Linked DNA regions of Canis lupus familiaris. The protein of the gene in region 2 interacts with the protein of the main gene of each other region in a biochemical or structural test. Links are inferred from orthologs where the notes say so. Each region holds a gene or a part of one and is shown on either strand. Other genes may lie near its edges.

Region 1 (10,196 bases), on a different chromosome or scaffold from region 2:
GCACCCCAATGTTGGTAGCAGCACTGTCCACAGTAACCAGATTATGGGCGACACCCAAATGTCCATCGACTGATGAATGGATAAAGAAGATGCAGGGGGTGGAATCCCTGGGTGGCTCGGCGGTTAGCTCCTGCCTTTGGCCCAGGGCGCGATCCTGGAGTCCTGGGATCGAGTCCCACGTCGGGCTCCCGGCATGGAGCCTGCTTCTCCCTCCTTCCGTGTCTCTGCCTCTCTCTCTCTCTCTATGTCTATCATAAATAAATTAATTAATTTAAAAAAATCAGATGCAGGGGATACACACACACACACACACACACACATATATATACACATACATATATACATACATAAATGGATTACTCAGCCATGAAAAAGAATGAACTATTGCCATTTGCAATGATGTGGAAGGAACTAGAGGGTATTATGCTGAGCAAAATAAATCAGTCAGAGAAAGACAAATACCATATGATTTCACTCATATGTGCAATTTAAGAAATAAATATGTGCAGTTTAAGAAATAAAACAGATGAACATAGGGGAAGGGGAAGAAAAATAAAATAAGATAAAAACAGAGAGGGAAGCAAACCATAAGAGAGTCTTAACAATAGGAGACAAACTGAGGGTTGCTAGAGGGGAGGTGGGCAGGGAGATGGGGTAACTGGGTGATGGGCATTAAGGAGGGCACTTGGGATGTGCACTGAGTGTTATATGTAAGTGATAAGTCACTGAAATCTACTCCTGAAACCAGTACATTATATGTGAACTAACTTGCATTAGTTTATGAGAGAGAGAGAGAGAGAAAGAGTGCACATATAGGCAGGGGCTGGGGGAGGGGCAGAGGTGGAGAGAGAGAAAGAGACTTTTAAGCAGGCTCCATGCCCAGAGAGAAGTCTGATATGTGGTTTGATCTCACAACCCTGAGATCATGACCTGAGCCGAAATCAAGAGTTGGACACTTAACCAATTGTGCCACCAAGTGCCCCTTGAATTTAAATTAAAAAAAAATAATAAAGTGGTGCTGAAGGTAGGGAAAAAAATCAGTTTCTAGATTTTGGGCAGAAAAGAGTCTGTTTAGATGGTGAAGCAACCTTAGGCATGCAGACATACATGTCTGACCTGGGCACTCCACCTCCATCACTTTACTTCTGACATTTATTGAACAAAATTTCAAATAAATTATTTTAAATGTTTGCAAGTTCTGCCTTAATAATTTTTAGAGGCAGAGGGTAAGACTTCTTGCATGAAATCTTACAGAGATTCATTACTCTACTTCTACTCGATTGAAACAATTACTCTATCGTTTCTCTAAGTGTTTTCGAGATGGGTTGAATATGACCAGTTTTTATTCAAGTGTCCCTAGGTGTAAGTGTGTATTCTGTGGCCTTATATGTGGTATGGACAGATTCATTCATGTATATGGAATAGGTAGATGATGGCATTGACTGACACATACCCACCTTAATACTAATTAAAATTTTATTCATGTTGGTGTTACAAGGGGAAAGAAGAGCAAACTAAACTGCACTATCATTGAAAATAGTATTGAGGTCGACAGAAATTTATTGAAAGCACACATTTAAACACTGTTGTTCAACAGCATTACGTCTGAAAGCAGCGCCCCAACAAACTAAAGACATATTTGCAAATGAAACTAAATCATTAACAAAAGTGGATGTTTTTCCCAAGAGTGACACAAATTAAGCTCCAGTAAATGCACATGCTCCTCTTTTTAGTGTAACTATTGAGAAATAGGAATCAGCATTGCCCGGATTATTTTTTTGTACACAAAATGACCAGAAAAATACATCATTACTTCACAGTTACCAGGTGATTAGCATTTAGCCTTACAAATCAGTTTCACTGACTGCATATATCCAAAAGAAAACAACATGATTGTTTCTCAAATGTAATAATTATTTGTATCCAGCTGTTTACCACGTTTTGAGCTCTTTAGGAAGCCAGTTTTACCGAGATCCATTGTAGCTACATCCACATATCTAGAAGAGCTCTTGTTCACGTAGTTGAGAGGTCCACATCCTCAATAAAGATAATTTATCCTCAAAGAAGAGGTCTAAGAGAGGTTTCCTAAAGGCGCTAAATGTTCATAATACTATTAAGCCAGAAGTTCCTAATTACGTTTTTTTTTTTAATATTTTATTCTCTGGTTCACACCCTTGGATAAACTCATAACTTAAATTCTTTTCACCTATACTCTTACATGTTCCTATCTGCCCAGTCCTGAGTGGATGGGACAAGCAATACGGATTCATTTATTACAAGTGGTGTAGCTGTGATACACGGGAATATTTTCTATTTCAGGTGAGGAAAAAAAAGTAGGTAAGAAGTAGCTGCATCCTGGCAGAGAGCACTCTGTGGCTCAGGTATGGTAGCTTCCTTCCCTGAATAAACTTGTGGTGTGGGGTGTTATTCAATGAGTGGCAAGCTATTTGTTTAACAGAATTTCAGTTAAATTATTGTCAAGACATTTCCTCAGCAGGAAACAGATCCTTGATTTATGGAGTAGTAACTTCCTTTTGTTCCTCTAATAAGAAATTCAGGAGCACATGAATGCTGCTTGGTTTCCACTTGTCTTCAGAGAAATTTGGTCGTGTGATCACTGTGAAGGATGTGCACATGGCAGTAGCCGTGAGCCTCACATCTGGGTCAGGGGAAGCCACCGGCCTGCCGCCTTCTGTGGAAGAAGCACCAGCCCTCTCTATGCTTAGGGCTGCCCACCACTTGATCCAAGATGAGACACTTGTTTTAAACTGACCTACACATAGGCTGGTCAGTGGTACTCTCTGAAGACAGTCGGCCATGAAGGTGTCTATCCAAAAGAGCAATGAAGGCAGAACTAATTCTCTAACGCAATCGAACTATTCCCCCTCTCTGCAATTTTTACAGCAGCATATGGACAAGAGTGTCCCACCAAAAGTGGAAGAAAGTCAACTCACAGAAAGAAGCGGTGGCTACAAGTGTCCTGAGTAAAAGCACAGAGCGATGAATTTCTAGCACTGCCTCAAATTCTTTTATTCCATATGTCTTTGGGTAATATTAACACACACACATAAACCTGAGTGAGCTTCCCTTACTTTCAGTCAGAAGGGTTTAGTATAATCCCCAAACTGATTCTTTCTTTTCTTTCCTTTTCTTTTCTTCTTTCTTTCTTTCTTTCTTTCTTTCTTTCTTTCTTTCTTTCTTTCTTTCTTTCTTTCTTTCTTCTTTCTTTCTTTCTTTCTCTTTCTTTTCCTTTTCTTTTCTTTTCTTTTCTTTTCTTTTCTTTTCTTTTCTTTTCTTTTCTTTTCTTTTCTTTCTTTTCTTTTTTTCTTTTTCTCTAGTGTATGTCCCCCTGATTGGCCTGGAAGCAAGAACTATGACAGAAGACGTGTATTACGTGACATCTGACACAAAGGAGTCTGCTCACGCACTCACCTGAGAGATCGGAGAACAGCTGCTTTGGGCGGCCAAGGTAATCTTCAAAAGAACTTTTTAGAGGTGTTATTTTTTTTTTCCAAGTTCTGTAAAAGTCATTTAACAAGGTCTTAGAACTCACAGACATAAAGGAACCTAGCAGGTAAAAATGAGTGTCTGGTGACGTCACCCCTCGTGAGCCGGGGAGGAAGCAGGAACTCCTCAGGGAGGCTGCTCTGTGACTCCTGACAGAGGTGAAGATGTGCTGACACCCTAGCAGGTGTCTCCCGGGGAAATCCCTGCAGACATTCCAAGGAGACCCGCACGAAGACGTCTGTGATGGTGCCATTTGTAATAAAGAAAAATAGTTCATGTCATGAGTGAAAATGGATGAGAAATGGAAGCATATTAAATCTAGTTTGTCCTGGTTCCTATAAGCCCTGTTACAGTTCCCAAGGACCCTTACCATCCCATTTCACAGACAGAAAACCGAATCCCAGACACACCATGTGTTTTGACCAAGGAGAGTGAGGATTCACACCCTGGCTCTGGAGCTCCTACCCTCACTTACGTTATTTCTGTGACTTTCCTTTTGAAGCTGGCATAGGGACATCATGTGAGACAGAGCTAGCGCTCCAGTCGTGGCACATGGAGGACTCAGGCCCAGCCAGGCCTTGGCAATTGCTCAGTAGCATTTGTTGAAGTGTGAGCTCCTGACACAACATGCAGGTCCTAGGAGCCGAGCAGCCAGACCCCAGGAAGTACTCAGGAGCTAGCCATCAAGACGTGTCTTGGCGGCAAGACCACATCCAGCAGCCATGATTTGGAGCTACCATGACTCTGGGCTGAATCAGGTTGTTCACAGACACAGTAGATTGGGGCAGGGTCAACCTAATAAGGACCAGTAGATTAGCTGCTTTAGGGAAAGAGCACTTAGTTCATGGTGGGCTGGACTGAGGCACTTGGAGCTGGAGATAAGGCCAGTTTTCCCAGATGCTGTCGGCCTGAGCGGACACTTGGAGCTTAGTGGGAGTGCTTCCCAGCTTGGCCGTCCTGTGCGTGGCTGCCTGCCGGGCAGTGAGTCCCAGAAGGAACGCAGTACACATGTTTCCCTTCAAAATGCATCCCCTGCATATAAAGAAGCCCTCATGTGTAATCTAACTACATCCCCCAAATTTAGTCACATTCTTTTTATCTCATTGCTAAGATAATAATAAAAAGAATATTCCCCAGTGGATGTCTGTGCCTCCCCTGAGGAAATCTCGTTTTATTTCCTACTCTGAAACTGTTCATAAATCATTCTCCAGCTGAGTACAGTTCAGTGCTAGTACTTAGCTTATCTGACCTTCGCATTAATTATTTTTATTACAGCAGCAGGAACGTCAGTGTGTTTTCCCCTGCCCTCCGAAGCCATGTGGCCCCGAGCAGAGTGGCTCCCGTCCTGCCACCGGCGGCTCCTCCGGTACCTGTCCAGCTGTCCCAAGTGTACCAGCTCAAACCCCATGTCCTGTCATACCAATGGATGCCCGAGGCCCGTTTGTGTGTGTGTGTGTGTGTGTCTTAGATGCGATTAAAATTCTTACAAAAACTGAAAGTGAAATGAGGAAATGATTGGGCAATCGAATAGAAGGGCCAGTGCCAGGAAGACCTATCATACCGGGGGGGCCCCGCGATGCGGCCAGGCAGACGGAGGGAAGCTCAGGAGAGCTCTCCTGAGGGCGACCACGGGGCCAGGCCATGTAGTCCGTGTAGGACATGAGCAAGCACAGCTCACAGGAAATGATCCGGTCCCTGCGCTCACTTACTCGAAAGGTCCAAACCTTCAAAGTTGCGGGAGTGCCATGGATGGCTGCACAGAAGGCCAGCAGTCACGCCTTTCTCCTTGCCTTGAGAGGGGAGAAGAAATGAAACTGAAGGAGTGTGTCTCCATCCTCCCCCTGAAGGAAAGCCCCTCTGTCCCATGCTCCAAAGATGGAACGCTGCTGGCCGTGACCCTGCTACTGGCCCTGACGGCCTGCTGCCTCTCCGTGGTGTCTTTCCACAGGGCGGCTGCCTTGCAAGCGGAGCTGGGGAGCCTCCGGGCGGAGCTGCGGGAACAGCACGCTGAGCCTGAGCGGCTGCCAGGCCCTCCGCAGGCCAGAGCCAGGGCCCCCAGGGCAGCCATGCGGGAGACCCCAGCTGTCACCTCAGCTCTGAACGTGAGTTTGCAGCAGCTGCGGCCCCAGGTTTGCCCCGCACCACTGCCCCCCACACCTCAGATATCTTTGCAATAACTTGGGGTTTTTCTCTCCTTAGGGAATCTTGGCACCATCCGCTGCAGGAGAAGGCAACTCCAGCCAAAGCAGCAGAAACAAGCGTGCCATTCAGGGGCCGGAAGAAACAGGTAAGTTTTGGGTGCAGAAGCATTTGGGAGCCAGGGAGCCTGGCATCCACAGGTGTGGAGGCTGGCCTCTGCTTTGAGGTCCCGAGAGTTGATTGATCAGTACTCAAAGACTGTGAGAGGTGCATTTACACCAGATGTGGCTTTAGGGCACAGCCTGTGCATTGGCACATTGATGAGCCTGCACGCCACGTTTTGTCCTCCAATGAGCATAGTGAGGGCCCTGCTGTCCTGGCAGCATAAAGGATGAGAAAGAGCCCAGAGTCTTCCTCCAATAGATCGTGCCTGTGTTGGAAACAGTGTCCATCACTCCAGCAGGAAAGCGCTTCAGGTCAGTATAGGTTCTGTCTACCTGAGTCATGGACAGTCAGGTAAAGGTAAACACTTCCTGAGGGCACCTTGTGTGCCATGCAGCCCAGTGAAGCTCCTGTTGGGAGCAGGTGTGTGTTTGTGATTTGTTTATTGCTGTAGTTCTAAAAAAGTTCATTTTACACACACACACATGCACACACGCACGCATGCATGCGTATACACACAGATTTTAAAGCTTTTCTTTAATGCTTTTCCAGGAACTTTTCCAGGAAGAGTTCTTTCATGATTGCTGCCTTTCTTTCTGTCCCACTTATTCCACAGTCTTAGAGATTCCAGAAACCTTGGATTGGGCAGAGCTTCCCCAAATGTTTGATTCTAGTTCCTGCATTTCAACGATGAAAAAGAGCATTACATTCATTCAATAATATCACAACTTAAACAATCCCTGGTATCATTCCTTTTCTTTTCTTTTCTTTTCTTTTCTTTTCTTTTCTTTTCTTTTCTTTTCTTTCTTTTCTTTTCTTTTCTTTCTTTTTTTTTCTTTTCTTTTCTTTTCTTTTCTTTTCTTCTTTCTCTTTCCTTTTTTTGAAAGAACACGTTTTGAGCAAACAGCATGGGCCTGCTTGGCGCATGCTGGGATAGTTATTGTCACGGCTACCATTTCCTTAAGTCCTCACGTTGGCCTTGAGGTGAGCAGAACAGGTGTAGTTCTGTACATATGTATTTGTACTTGTGGAGGGAAGCACATGACTTAGAGACTAGGTGTTCTTCCGTCAGACCACACACACACACTCACACACATTAGGTGCTTTGGCTGGAAATGTATTCACTAACTGCCTTATTCATGGAAAGAAAATTCTTACCTCTTCCTTAAAACCATAATTTTCTACATATGCTTTGTGTCAAGTATCAGAAACAGTTGGGTTTAAATATATATAAACTAGGAAATGTGAGTACTTTTACTATACTTTAACACATGAATTATTTTCATACTTTGCAATTTTATCATATGTATTTCCTACCTAACTGAAAAAATACAGCATATATACTATGGATTTATTTTTGTGTTCACTTATCATTATGCAATAAGCATTTTCCCTACTACTAAGTTATTCTCACACATCCATGTTAGTTTCCTGTCACACAGTTATTTAACATGACCATTTCCAAAACTTTTGTGCAGATTTCTTTTTTCTTTTTTCTTTTTTTTTTTTTTTAAGATTTTACTTATTTATTCATGAGAGACACACACACAGAGAGAGAGAGAGAGGCAGAGACACAGTCAGAGGGAGAAGCAGGCTCCACGTGGGACTCGATCCTGGAACTCCAGGATCACATCCTGGGCCGAAGGCGGCGCTAAACCGCTGCACCACCTGGGCCACCCTCTTATTTCTGATGAATTACATGTTCCAAAGAAAGAATATCAGAAATAAAGAGGATAAACATCTTTATCACCCTTACTCCCTTTTGCCATGTTGCTTCCAAAATGAATTATAAATGTATTGTAGTCAGAAATGCACTGTACAAGTTCTCCACATTCTTAGTGTTTTATCTTTTAAAATTTATGTTGGCTAGCTTGGTAGTTGTAAACAGTATCTCAAATGTAATTTGTTATTTGCTTACAAATAAGAATTTCTGCGTATTTACATAACTTCTAATTTTATCTTCTGCTAATTTTTATTTATAACTTCCCTCATTTGTCCTAATTCTTTGTGATTTGAATGAACTATATTAAACATTCTGTTTATCAAAATTTTGCTGTAAATATCTTCCCAATATCTTGCTTATTTAAAATGTGTACAGAGATTTTACATCTGTGTATGTAATATGATAAACTTTTCCTTCTGATCTCTGTCATACGTTAAAGCTAAAAATGTATTTCTTCATAATTTCTTACATAGCCTATTCTATTCTCTACCACTTTGACTTGTTTACAACTTTGTGTTTTAGTTTGCTGTTATTTAACTCCTTAATCCTCCTGGCATTCATTTGGTAGATCATGTCTACTAGCTTTAACTTACCCTTTCTTCTTTAATTTTTTTCCTTCTAAATTATTCCTAATATCTCAACTAAATTTATTAGATGATTCTTTTTAACTTGTTTGCATTGGAAAGCTTACTGTGTTGTATTAAGTTTCTCACATATAGTTGAATCTATTTTGAGACATTTTCATTGATTTATTATTCTTTTTATCTGTATTAAATAAAATATGTTAAGTATTTTGTAATATAATGAGCTTTAATATCTCATAGAGTCAGAATGTTTCAATCTTCTTCAACCTCCGTGCTAGTATCCTCCAGTCTCTGCACATTAGGTTTATGAATAATCCTTAACTTTACCATTGCAAAAGAGCTGCAAAGGGCTCATTATAGCAGGTTTAAGAAGAAACGACATTGAATAAGAAATTAATTAACTCCCAGAGTCCCACTTCCATAAATACCCTCTATTATATTTAAATTTTCCTCCTATGTGCAAAATTTTACAAATTTGTGATTCTATGGCATCCAAAAATCATATACTGATTAAAAATTTTCTCTAAATAAATTTGTAATTTTTAGAAAGTTTGGAAAGTAACAAAAAATTGTATCAAGTGAATAAAAATTTACCCAGTTTCCACAGCCCAGATATAACTGCTATTTTCATAATCATAATTTGCCTGAGATTTTCATAGACCTTTTATATAGTATATATATAGTATATATATAGACCTTTTATATAGTATATATGTATGTATATATACATTATATATATATATTAGTATAGGTATATATAGTATGTATATAAATATATCAAATATGTATAGATAACATATATATGCAATAAATAGTACCCCCCATATATATACACACTAACACTCATAACGTCCATAGATCTGAGAGGAGATCTCCTCTCCTTGAAGAGGAGGACCTCAGTTACAGGTCATATCTGCTATTCCTCATTGGTGAAACTGGCTTGAATGTCATTTTAGATGCCATCCTTCTGTGCAGGGAAAATGTAATTTGCTTAGTACTACAAGAGTAATGTGTATGTAACCAAGAGGGTTGTCTGGAACTCCTTGACTCCTTTCTTTCTTTCTTTCTTTCTTTCTTTCTTTCTTTCTTTCTTTCTTTCTTTCTTTCTTTCTCTGTTTGGTAATGTCCTTTCTTTGGAGTTGAGAAAATTCTGTATAATTTGAATCTATGCAACTTTCTTTGTTTTTGTTTGTTTCTATTCTAGTTCTGATTTTTTTTTAAGATATTTGTTTATTTATTTGAGAGAGAGAGAGACTATGAGCTGAAGGCAGTGGCAGAGGCAGAGGGAAAGGCAGATACCCCACTGAGCAGGAAGCCAGATGTGGAGCTCAATCCCAGGACCCCGAGGTCATGACCTGAGTCAAAACCACAAGTTGGACACTTAACCGACTGAGCCACCCAGGCACCCCTTGTCCTGATTTTATTAAGTAAGCCTCAAAAACTTTAGGTTGTCCCTGTTACTTTCAAACTGTCCATTCTTGTTCTTATTTATTCATTTTCTATATGCATTATAGAACCATTGACAGTTTCTGTTGGAATTTTATGCAAATTGTAACTCTGAAGATGAAAATGAATTTGTTCACTGTTTAATTTATATAACCAATAATGCTTAATATCTTTTTATTAAATAACAAATCTTAAATTTCCCAATTAGATAGAATTTTCTTAGGTTTTACTGTTCTTTCATAGTTAATTATTAAAAAGGTTTTGTTGTGATTTTGGAGTTCTGGGATTTTTAAATAGCTTATTAAACTGTTTTAAAATATACAGAATTTTCAACAAATATTGTAGCATTCAATCTCATGGATAGTTTTGAGCCACATCAACACCCTTACTGGACTTGTACTTAACAGAATTATAATATTGTTTCAGATTTTTTTAAAGAGTAGTCTGCTTTCTACATATACTCCTCAATATCAGTGTGCCATCATTTTATAACTATGTCAAATAGGTTCAGAACTAACTATTGCTAAATAACACCCCAGGACGTTGCCCATTTTTATTTCTCTGTAAATCCAATCTAAATTTCAGCAGCACTTCAGTTTTATTGTGTGCTTGTTCAGTTTGTAAATAAACTCCAG
Region 2 (10,167 bases):
CAGCAGGAAAGTAGACTGTAGACAGACACCAATGTGAACACTTGTCAAATGTCACTGGAGGGTCCATGGGTATTTGTTCTCTGTTACTTTTAGCCTTTCTCTGAGTTTCGAATTTTTTATAATAAAGAATTTTGAGGGGATTTTTTTTTAATGGACAGAGAAACTAGATCTTCCCACAGAAGTTTGCGGCTCTTGCTATAGAAACTGCTGTTTGCTTTTTTGAAGTGGGTTTTGCTAAAGTATTTAGAATTTCTGAGAAACTAACACAAATCGAGGGAGGGAGTGGGTACTTTAGCAACGTAGGAAATTCACATCTGAGTCGCATATGTAAATTGCAATCATGAAAATCAGGGCTTTCACTGCATTTCTAAGAAATGCCCTTTTTTGGATACTCTTGCTTTTGTCTTACCTCTAGGACTCTCAGAGAAGGTTCCACAGCATGGCCTCAAAAGGGCCTGGGGTGGGGGGTTGGCAGGTGCCAGGGTGCTGCTCACCAGACAAATCCCCACTGCCTCAGAGAGACCACGACACCGCTGGGCAGGAGTTCTCAGGCCCAAAATATCGCCGCCGTGCTTGTGTAGAGTGGAACAGTCCTGTTGGAAAATATTGATCATGGGCAGCCCGGGTCGCTCAGTGGCTTAGCGCCGCCTTCAGTCCAGGCGTGATCCCGGAGAACCGGGATCGAGTCCCACGTCGGGCTCCCTGCATGGAGCCTGCTTCTCCCTCTGCCTGTGTCTCTGCCTCTCTCCCTCTCTCTCTGTGTGTGTCTCTATGAATAAATAAATAAAATCTTTAAAAAAATAAAAAGAAAATATTGATCAATGTGACGTCTCCTTTGACCAAATAATCCACTTAGGGAATTCAAGCCATTAGATGAGACACAGAGATAAAATATATATTAAATGAATATATGTAAGGGGTTTAAAATAGTGCCTGGAACATGGTGAGTGCTACGTAAATGCTCACTATTGTTATTCTTTGTAATAGGCATTTTATTTTTTATTTATTTATTTATTTATTTTTTGTAATAGGCATTTTAAAGAACTCCTTTAAAAGGTTAGGTTTGGGCTGCTGGGGTGGCTCAGCGGTTTAGTGCTGCCTTCAGTCCAGGGCCTGATCCTGGAGACCCAGGATCGAGTCCCACGTCGGGCTCCCTGCATGGAGCCTGCTTCTCCTCTGCCTGTGTCTCTACCTCTCTCTCTCTCTCTCTCTCTCTCTGTCTCTGTCTCTCTGTGTGTGTGTCTCATGAATAAATAAATAAAATCTTAAAAAAAATAAAAAGATAAAGCTTGATAGAATATATTGGGTGAAAAAAAAAGCCAGATGTTTACAGTGTGTTGAATCCGTATGCACAAGTAATTGTGTAAAAACTGTGTATGGGGGTGGAGGGGATGGGGCAAAATCTATCATCTATCGACGTGTGCATGCATGTAAATGTCAAGGCTTGGCCGGAAGCCTGTGTGAACCAGATCTGGTCACAGTTGCCACCTTTGAACAGGGAAAGGGGCCATCTAGAGTATCTAGATAGGAGAAAAATTTCTTTTTTGCTATAGTCCCTTTCACACTGAATTTTTCTTTACCATGTGCTCATTTTAACTGTTTAGGTGACCCTATTTGAATGAATCAGCTCCCAAACCTGGAGGTATACAAGGTGCCTTCACTCTGGGTCCCAGAACTCTTCTGTCCCCTTTAAATGTGGGGACTTAAAATTAGAATCCCGCGTCCCCCCCTGGGGGAGACAGCTCTCGGAGAGGGCTGGTTTCAGAATGATGTTCAGAAACCTCCAGCACCTGTTCTGAGGGAGCCCAGGGAGGAAGGGAATCTATTTTCATAGGTCATGAAATTTGAGCTCAGTACCACAATAATAAAATTCCTTGCAATTGTGTGGCACTGGTGGGGACAGATCACACATGCTTTGGTCTGGGCTGTCCTGTTTGAGCTTAACATTCATCCATTGGATCAGGAGAAAATGAGGCTTGCAGAGGCTAAGCAAGCCCCCCCGCCAAAATGTCCCACAGCTTTGCTCTGTCTGGTTTAATAAAATCTAGTAACAACGGAAAGGAGCCAGAAGAAAGAAGTGGATAATCCCATCTGTAGGTTCCTGTTTATACGGTCAGGAACAGACAACATGAATCTGTGGGGACAGAGGTCAGAATGAGGGCGATTCTGGGGTGATGTGGTGGCTGCTGGGAGAGGCAGGGAGGGGGGCTTCTGGGGGCCCCAAGTGTTCTCAGTCTTGATCTGGGTAGCATTACCTGGGTATGCACATCTGTAAACTATTCACTGACCTGCACACTTCAAATTCTTGCATTTCACTGCACGTAAATTGCACTTTTAAATGAAGAAAATAGAAAGCAAATAAGATCCATTATTTGTAAAGACTGTTCCAGCAAAAGCATTAGCAAGCTGTGATCAGCAATGAGACATTAGGAAACCCTGCCATCCCGTTCTTGGCCTCCCCGGGAGTCAGATCTGATTCTGTTTGACTTTTGTTTCACGTGTAACTTTTGTTTTGTTGGCTTTAAAACTCAAAAGTGCTATCTCATTGAGCAAGGCAATGTGTGTGGTTCCAGAGACCAGCAGTCAGTCCAGCAGGTCTGCTTCTGGAAGGTACAGTCCGCTCAATAGATGGAGACAGCTTTCCAACGGTCAGAACTAACCCCCTGTGAGCCAGCTGCTCTGTGAGGTGCTGAGAGCCCCAGCTCCGGGGAAGAAGATAAGGGGGAAGTGCACTGAGGGCATCCAACAGTGACTCTGGGCTTGCCCTGATTCCACAGGCAGAAAGTTCCTGGCAACAGAACCCATGATTGCCTCTGGCTCTCGAATCCACCCCGCCTGCCTAGCTGTTGGCACAAGTAATACAGATGTATCTTCTCTGTGTAAACATTAAGAAATTACAAGTAGGGCTAAAGTCCCTCTTGACCATCACCCCCAAATCTGGTCCCCTCTTGTCCTACCCAGAGGCAACCATTGTCACCATGCTCATCTTGTCAGATGTCGTCTGTCTGCATCACGTTCGTATGTATGGTGTCACTGAAAATGCGATTTGTGATTTTATTTTACTAAAAGGTATCATGGTTTGTCTTGACAGTCATTCCATGTCACTGCTTACAGATCCAGACTGATCTTTGTAACCTTCTTGTAACCCTTCTTTGTAACCTTTGCATAATATTCCTGGTTGTGACCTGTGTACCTCACTCGGCCATCCTCCGCTGGATCGACATGGACGTTGCTTCCAGATGCTCCCTATTATTAACCACGCCTCTGCGAACATCCTTGTGCACCTGTGGTACACGGGGAAGAATGTCGGGGTTGTGAGTTAGGTGTATGTTGTACAGTTTAATGCACCCGGCAGGTTGCCCTCCAAAATGGTAGTAACAACAGCCTCCCTCTGGCAGGGCAAGAGATCGCATCTCCCTAGGTACCCCCCATATCTCCCTGTTATCAAGTTCGAAGATTGTGCCAACCTGGTGGATGAAAATCCGTTTTTCATTGTTTGTGTCGCTTTGATCATGAGATTGAGCAGTTTTTAGGTTACCAGCCCTATTTCCTCTCCGGTTGTGTTCACTATCATCCGGGTCAGCCTTTTGTTCCCCTCCTTTCCACCCTCACTCCTGCCGTAACTCCTCCCTGGATGTCATCCCACTTCCCCTCCACCTACCCGATCCCTCAAGGTTTCCTTCCTCAATGCCATGGGCTTCTAAATCTGTCTCAATCCAGTCTTAATCCTGTGGAGGTTTCAGGGGAGTTGGGAAGGCATGGAAAACAAGTTCCCATAGTGGGAAGGGGGCTATGGCGCTGATCCTCATCGTTTATTGAGAACTTACTATGTGCCAATAACTTCTGCTAAGGATTTAACTGGGTAACTCCTTTCATTCTCCTTTCCTTCTGCTAACTGTGAGCAGGTATTATCGTTATACTTACTCATGAGAAGAGAAAATGGAGGCACAGAGGCCAAGCTGAGATTCAATCCAGGGTGTCCTGCTCTGATGTCAGCCTCTCGAGTACTTTGATAGGGCTTAGGAAACACAGAGAATGGGCATTTAACCTGGTCTGGGACAGTCAGGGACAGCTTCCTGGAGGAGGTGGCCCCTCGGCTGAGCCTGAAGGCAGATCAAGAAGAGATGACCAAGCACTGAAATAGGAAGTGGTTGTCAAGAAGAGGGAAGGGCCTGGGAAGCCTCTTGTCTGGAGGCTGGAGACCTGGGTCACTCTGGCTGCAGCCTGGAGCGTGTGACACATCCAAGGGGTGGGTTGGGGCCAGATTGGGGTCATACCAGTTTCCATCTCTTCCCAAAGCCAATCCAACCTTTCCCTTGCTCTGTGGGTGCTGACGGGCGGTGTGTGGTGGGGGCTCTGCAGACAGCACCGGTGGGGACTCCGGAGTAGGCGCAGGCCGCCCACCTCGGCTCCTAACACGCAGGTGCAGGGGCGGGTGGGGGTGCCGCTGATTTACATCCTACAGGTTGGGGGGGGAAAACCCAGGAAGTGCAGCTCAGGCACTAATCAAATCTAAGGCTAATAATAAACGTCCTGAGTAATGCGTGGCTTGGGCCAGAGCAGGCGAGGCAGCCGGACTCGGACGGGCCAGGAGGAGTGGAGTGAGTAGTCGGGGAGGCGGCCAGTGGGGGGGAGTGGGGGCGAGGAGGGCTTGGCCGGGGCACAAGCTTCAATGGGGTTTGATGGGCACAGCACCCACAGCAGACGGGTAAGCTCGAGCAGTCTGGGGGTCACCCCAAGCCTCTGCACGTAGAGAGCCCCAAGTCTGGGAGCTTTAGGGGATCTGTACCTCGCATTCCAGGAGAGGAGCCGGGAAGATGGAGGGTCAGGACATAGGTGGGAGTCCCATCTGAGACAACCCCAACCCCACTCCTAAGCTGGTCAGGGCACCTGAGCCAGGTTGGTCCGAGCGTTTAAAAGTATTTTATTTTGGGATCCCTGGGTGGCTCAGCAGTTTGGCGCCTGCCTTTGGCCCAGGGCGCGATCCTGAAGTCCTGGGATCAAGTCCCACGTCGGGCTCCCTGCGTGGAGCCTGCTTCTCTCTCTGCCTCTCTCTCTCTCTCTCTTTCTCTCTCTCTCTCTATGTCTATCATAAATAAATAAATATTTTTTTAAAAAGTATTTTATTTTGAAGTCAATGCCAAAGCGGAGAGGAGAGTTTAATGCACTTTCTGCATACATCCCCCAGCTTTGGCAATTATCGACACAGGGCCGGCCTTACATTTTCTGTGCTTGCCATGTTCCCCCTCCAGCCCCACTGGATCAGTTTAGAGCTAATAACCAATTTCATATTGTTTGATTCATGGGTACCTTAGCATTAATCTCTAAAAAAACTCTTTAAAGGCCAAAAAACTAACCATCATGCCCTGACCAACTAAAAAAAGAAGGATCCCCTAGTATTACCAAATAAACAGTCAGTGTCAAGACTTCCCAACTGTCTTATCAATGTCTTTTCCAACTGATTTGATCAAATCAGGATCTGAACACAACCCACGTTATACCTTTGATTACATATTTTAATCTAGAACAGTCCCCATTTGCTCTCCTTTCTTCCCCCTGCTATATATTTATTGAAGACCCTGGATTACTTAGCCTGTAGAATTTTTATGAGAGTTTTAAAGATTCATTTGAAGGCACAATCCAGGAAGCTCAGGTTGCTGGAGTAGATGAGTCCAAGTCCATCACTGTGCAGAGGGGACCCAAGGCTAAACATGAGAGGGGCTGTCAGGGCCCTGGGTGGCCCAGCCCGGGATCCCACATTGCCGGCTGCTGCTCTGTCCCCCACGAGTCAGTCTCTGATTCCTTTCTTCATCCAGTGACCATGGCCTCAGACATATCCCCAGCTAAGGGCTCAGAGTCAAGACCAGAGGCCCCCTTGACTCAGGGTGAAACTGCCCAGGCCCCCAGGACCACAGGCCGGGACTCGGTCGGAACTGTGACCGGGCACCGAGCGTGGCTGCCGAGTATAGCAGAATCAGCCTTGGCCTGGAGTCCTAGCTCCCGGTGTTCACGGGCTCACTGGGTGACCTTGGGAGGGTTCTGCACCTCGCCAGGCTGTTTCCTCGGCTTTACAATGAAGAGGAGCCTCTGCCCCACCAGGTGTCCCCCAAAACCTCAAAAGGGCTTTGCCCCCTGCCAGAACCCCTCTTGAGGAGTCAAAGGTTGAGAGAGGGGCTGCAGTTAAAAGAGCTTTGACTTTCTTTAATCCGGCATTTTTCCAACTAAGTTGACCACAGAGGTCCTTCTTGGTATGGAAACTATTAAGCCAAGCACATGAGGACTCACAGGCAGAGGCCCCACAGTCATCCCTCCTGGCTGCTGTCCGGTCAGGGTGCAAGGTGCAGGAGGTGGGGGGTGTGAGCCTGGTCCGCAAAAGCAGGCGTGCAAGAGGACTTCTTCCCTTCTTCCCTACATGGCAACAGAACTTTCTCAAGCTTCCATTATGCCTGGCCAGTGTCAGTCTTAGGATTTTCCTGCCCCTCTTTGGGGCTGGACAATGATTCTTGAATTTTATGTAGATGCAGATGGTGGTGGAGGAGTGGGGAGCAGATACGGTGCCCTCCGGTCCGTTGGGTGTCTGCCGTCAGGCCAGTTGGGAACTATGTCCCGTCAGATCTCACAGCTCGGTGGCTTCCGATCATTAATGTCTTGGAAGCTCTCCATGTCTACATTGGAAGCCCAGAAAATATAAAAAGGTATATAATATGAAATCTTCCTTCCCTCAGTGTCCTTACCTTCCCAGTTCCTGCCTCTCTGGGAATAAACAGATTTGCTGACATATAATTTACGTGTCATAAAAGTGTACACGTCAATGTCACATTTAGTATATTTACAGAGTTGTGCAATCATCGCTATGATCTAATTTTAGAACATTTCCACACACTTCATTCCCCCTACCCCTGGCCTTAAGCTAACACTAATCTGCTTTCTATCTCTAAAGATCTTCTTGTGTTTTTGTTTTGTTTGTTTATAATGTGGAGGGAGGGGCAGAGTGAGAGGGAGGAGAATCCCAAGCAGATTCCCTGCTGAGCATGGAGCTCGATGCAGGGCTTGGGCCCAGGACCTTGAGATCATGAGCTGAAATCAAGAGTCAGCCACCCACGCGCCTCTAGATTTGCCTGCTTTGGACAATTTTATAAAAATCAAATGCGGTGTTTTGCAAACTACCTTCTTCCTCTTAGCATGATGTTTTTAAGGTTCTTTCATGTTGTAGCATCTATCAGCACTTTGCTCATTTTTATGGCCAAATAATATTCCATTTAATGGGTATAGCACATTTTATATATTCATTCATCAGTTGACGGACATTTGTGTTGTTTCTACTTTGGGGCTATTATGAATGATGGTGCCATGAATATCTGTCAAGCATTTGGATGGACATGTTTTCATTTCTCTTGGGAGTGGAATTTTGGGTCTTATGTTAATTCTATGCTTAACATTTTGAGGAACCACCAAACTGTTCTCTGCAGTAGCTGTACCATTTGATAATCTTGTTTCACATATGAGGATTCCAATTTCTCCACATCTTCACAAACACTTGTCATTATCCTTCATTTTCATTATAGCCATCTTAGTAGGTATCTCAGTGTGCTTTTGATTTGCATTTCCCTAATGACCAATGATGTTGAGCATCTTTTCATGCTCTTATTAGCCATTCACATATCTTTTTGGGAAGATGTCTAATTCCTTAACCTATTTTTAAATTGGATTGTTTTTTCGATATTCAGTTATAAGCATTCTTTAGACATTCTGGATCCCTTAACATATATATGGTTTGCAAATATATCCTCCCAGTCTGTGGATTGTCCTTTTATTTTCTTGATAGTATTCTGTGAAACACAAATGTATTTAATTTTGATGAAGTCTAATTTCTTAATCTTCTCTGTTGTCACTTATGCATTTGGTGTCATTCCTAACCCCAAGTCATGAAGAAACTCCTGTTTTCATCTAAATTTGTCATTTTAGCTCTTACATTTAGATCTATGATCACTGCGAGTTAACTTTTGTATAGGTAGGAGTCCAAATTTTTTCTTCTACACATGGCTATCCTGTTGTCTCAGCACTATTTGTTGAAAAGACGATCCTTTCTCCCATTGAATTGTCTTGGTATCCTTATTGAACATCAATTGACTATAAATATTGGGCTTTATTTGTGAACTCTGAGTTCTATTCCATTTGTCTATGCTTATCTTTATGCCAGTAATACCCTGTCTTATTTACTATTACTTTATAGTCAATTTTAAAATGGAAAAGTGTGAGTCTTCCAACTATGTTTTTCTTTTTTGAGATTGTTTTGGCTCTTCTGAGTCTCTTGCATTTCCATATGATTTTAGGATCAGCTTGTCAAACTCTGCAGAAAAGCCAGCTGGGATTTTTTACTAGGATTGCATTGACTCTATAGAAAAATTTGGGGAATATTGCCATCTTAACAATATTAAGTCTTTAATCCATGAACATGGGATGTCTCTCCATTTGTTTAGGTCTTTTAAGATTTCTATTAACAAGGTTTTATAGTTTTCAATGTACAAGTTTTGCACTTTTTAAAAATTTATTCCTAAGAATTTTATTTAAAACACCTTTTTTTGTTTGTTTGTTTCTTAAGTTTCTTTATAGTGTTTCTTTGTGAATATGCCAACACTTACAGATTTGAATTTCCCCCTTTTTGCAAAAAAGGAAGGAGGGAGGGAGGGAAGGAAGGCAGGAGGGGTCTCAATGAGCCATACTGTTATGTACCTGTTTGTTTTTATTTTTGCTTTTCCACATAATATACCTTGGAGCTCTGTCCATAGAAATATATAAAGAGCTTCCTAATTCTTTTTTTATAGATGCACAATAGTCCCATATATAAGCATACTATAGTTTACTTATCGGTCCTCTATTGATGGCCGTTTGAGGTTTCACCAATCTTCTGCTATCACAAACACTGCTGCAAAGAATTTATCATTTCACACTCTGGGATAAATCCCAGGGTTTAATCACTGTATCACTGATCAATGCATCAGTAATTTTGACAAATGTTGTCAGCTTGCCCTCCACGAGGGTTATCCCTATTTCCTCCCCTTTCAGAGTGAATGAAAGTGCCAGTTTCCTCATTACTCTGCTAATAGAAGGTGTTATTAAGCTTCTGGATTTTTAGGTCTATTAGAGGGAAGATAGTATCAACATAGTTTGAGTTCACCCATCTCTTAGGAATGAGACCAGACATCTTTATGATGTTTTTCTCTGTCTAAGAACTGTCTATTCATTGTGTTTGCTCAATTTTCTATTGAGTAGCTGGCCTTTTCCCTTCTGTTTATAGATATGAACTGCAATGTTTTGTTCTCATTTTTCATTTCCCTTTAGACTTCTTTGAAGGCATTTTTTGCCACATTTAGGGGCTTTTTTTCTGTAGTATAGTTTATCAGTCTTTACAGATTTTGGATATGGGGTCACAGTTAGGCCTCTCATACTCCAAGTTTACAAAGAAATATCAGATCATTTTTTCTCTAGAACTTTTTGTAATTTTATTCTTTCTCACACTTGAAAGTGTGAGAAATTTTATTTTCTCTTTGATTGGGCTATTTGCCTTTTTTTTTTTTAATATAGGGGAAATTATTTCCTGTGCTTCCTGGTTTCTGGCCCCAGTTACCTCGTCTCTGCCAAGAAACCTCTCCCCTAAGTATTAAAAGCAAAAGCCAGGATTTTTGCTTTCCCCTCTCCCCACACCAGGACACCTCTGCCCTGAGTCTACTTGCATGAAGGAAATGCAGGCAGAGGAGGGGGCAGAGTAAAACTTAAATATGTCCCAGCCCAGCTGTCTATAACTCAAAAATGGAGACCGCTTTTCATTCCACAAGTCTTTACGGAGGACAACGATGTGTCAGGTCATTTACGAGCATTTATTAAAGACCTGCTATGTCCCGGTATTTTGGAAGGCACCAGATTCAGAGATGAATGAGACAGTGTAAGGAGACAGAATGGCTACACCCTCAAACGTAAAGTACAAAACCAGAAATACCACCACGTAGACATGCTCAGGCCACATGGTCATCCAGGAAGGCACATGTAACAGCTCAGAAGGAGAGGCTAGAGGACAAGGCAGCTCTGCGGGCAAGTGTTTCTAGAAAATTATGATGCTTAAGCCACAAATTGAGATGGTGGGAGCATGAGATGGTGGGAGCAGTTCTC

The links. The genes of interacting proteins can lie anywhere in the genome.
Region 1: the proteins of TNFRSF13B (region 2) and TNFSF13B form a complex in vitro, tested with the Homo sapiens proteins (3 studies listed by BioGRID and IntAct, with this or other methods). The link is inferred for Canis lupus familiaris from reciprocal best matches to the Homo sapiens genes TNFRSF13B and TNFSF13B.

Annotation. Positions count from the first base shown.
Region 1 is NC_049243.1:57,178,999-57,189,194, forward strand, and holds the start of TNFSF13B (tumor necrosis factor ligand superfamily member 13B), read left to right. Parts: upstream 1-5,021; 5' UTR 5,022-5,252; coding exon 5,253-5,609; intron 5,610-5,706; coding exon 5,707-5,794; intron 5,795-10,196. UniProt on the Homo sapiens protein: Cytokine that binds to TNFRSF13B/TACI and TNFRSF17/BCMA. TNFSF13/APRIL binds to the same 2 receptors. Together, they form a 2 ligands -2 receptors pathway involved in the stimulation of B- and T-cell function and the regulation of humoral immunity.
Region 2 is NC_049226.1:42,658,809-42,668,975, forward strand, and holds the start of TNFRSF13B (tumor necrosis factor receptor superfamily member 13B), read left to right. Parts: upstream 1-4,461; 5' UTR 4,462-4,540; coding exon 4,541-4,601; intron 4,602-6,518; exon of another isoform or gene 6,519-6,695; intron 6,696-10,167. UniProt on the Homo sapiens protein: Receptor for TNFSF13/APRIL and TNFSF13B/TALL1/BAFF/BLYS that binds both ligands with similar high affinity. Mediates calcineurin-dependent activation of NF-AT, as well as activation of NF-kappa-B and AP-1.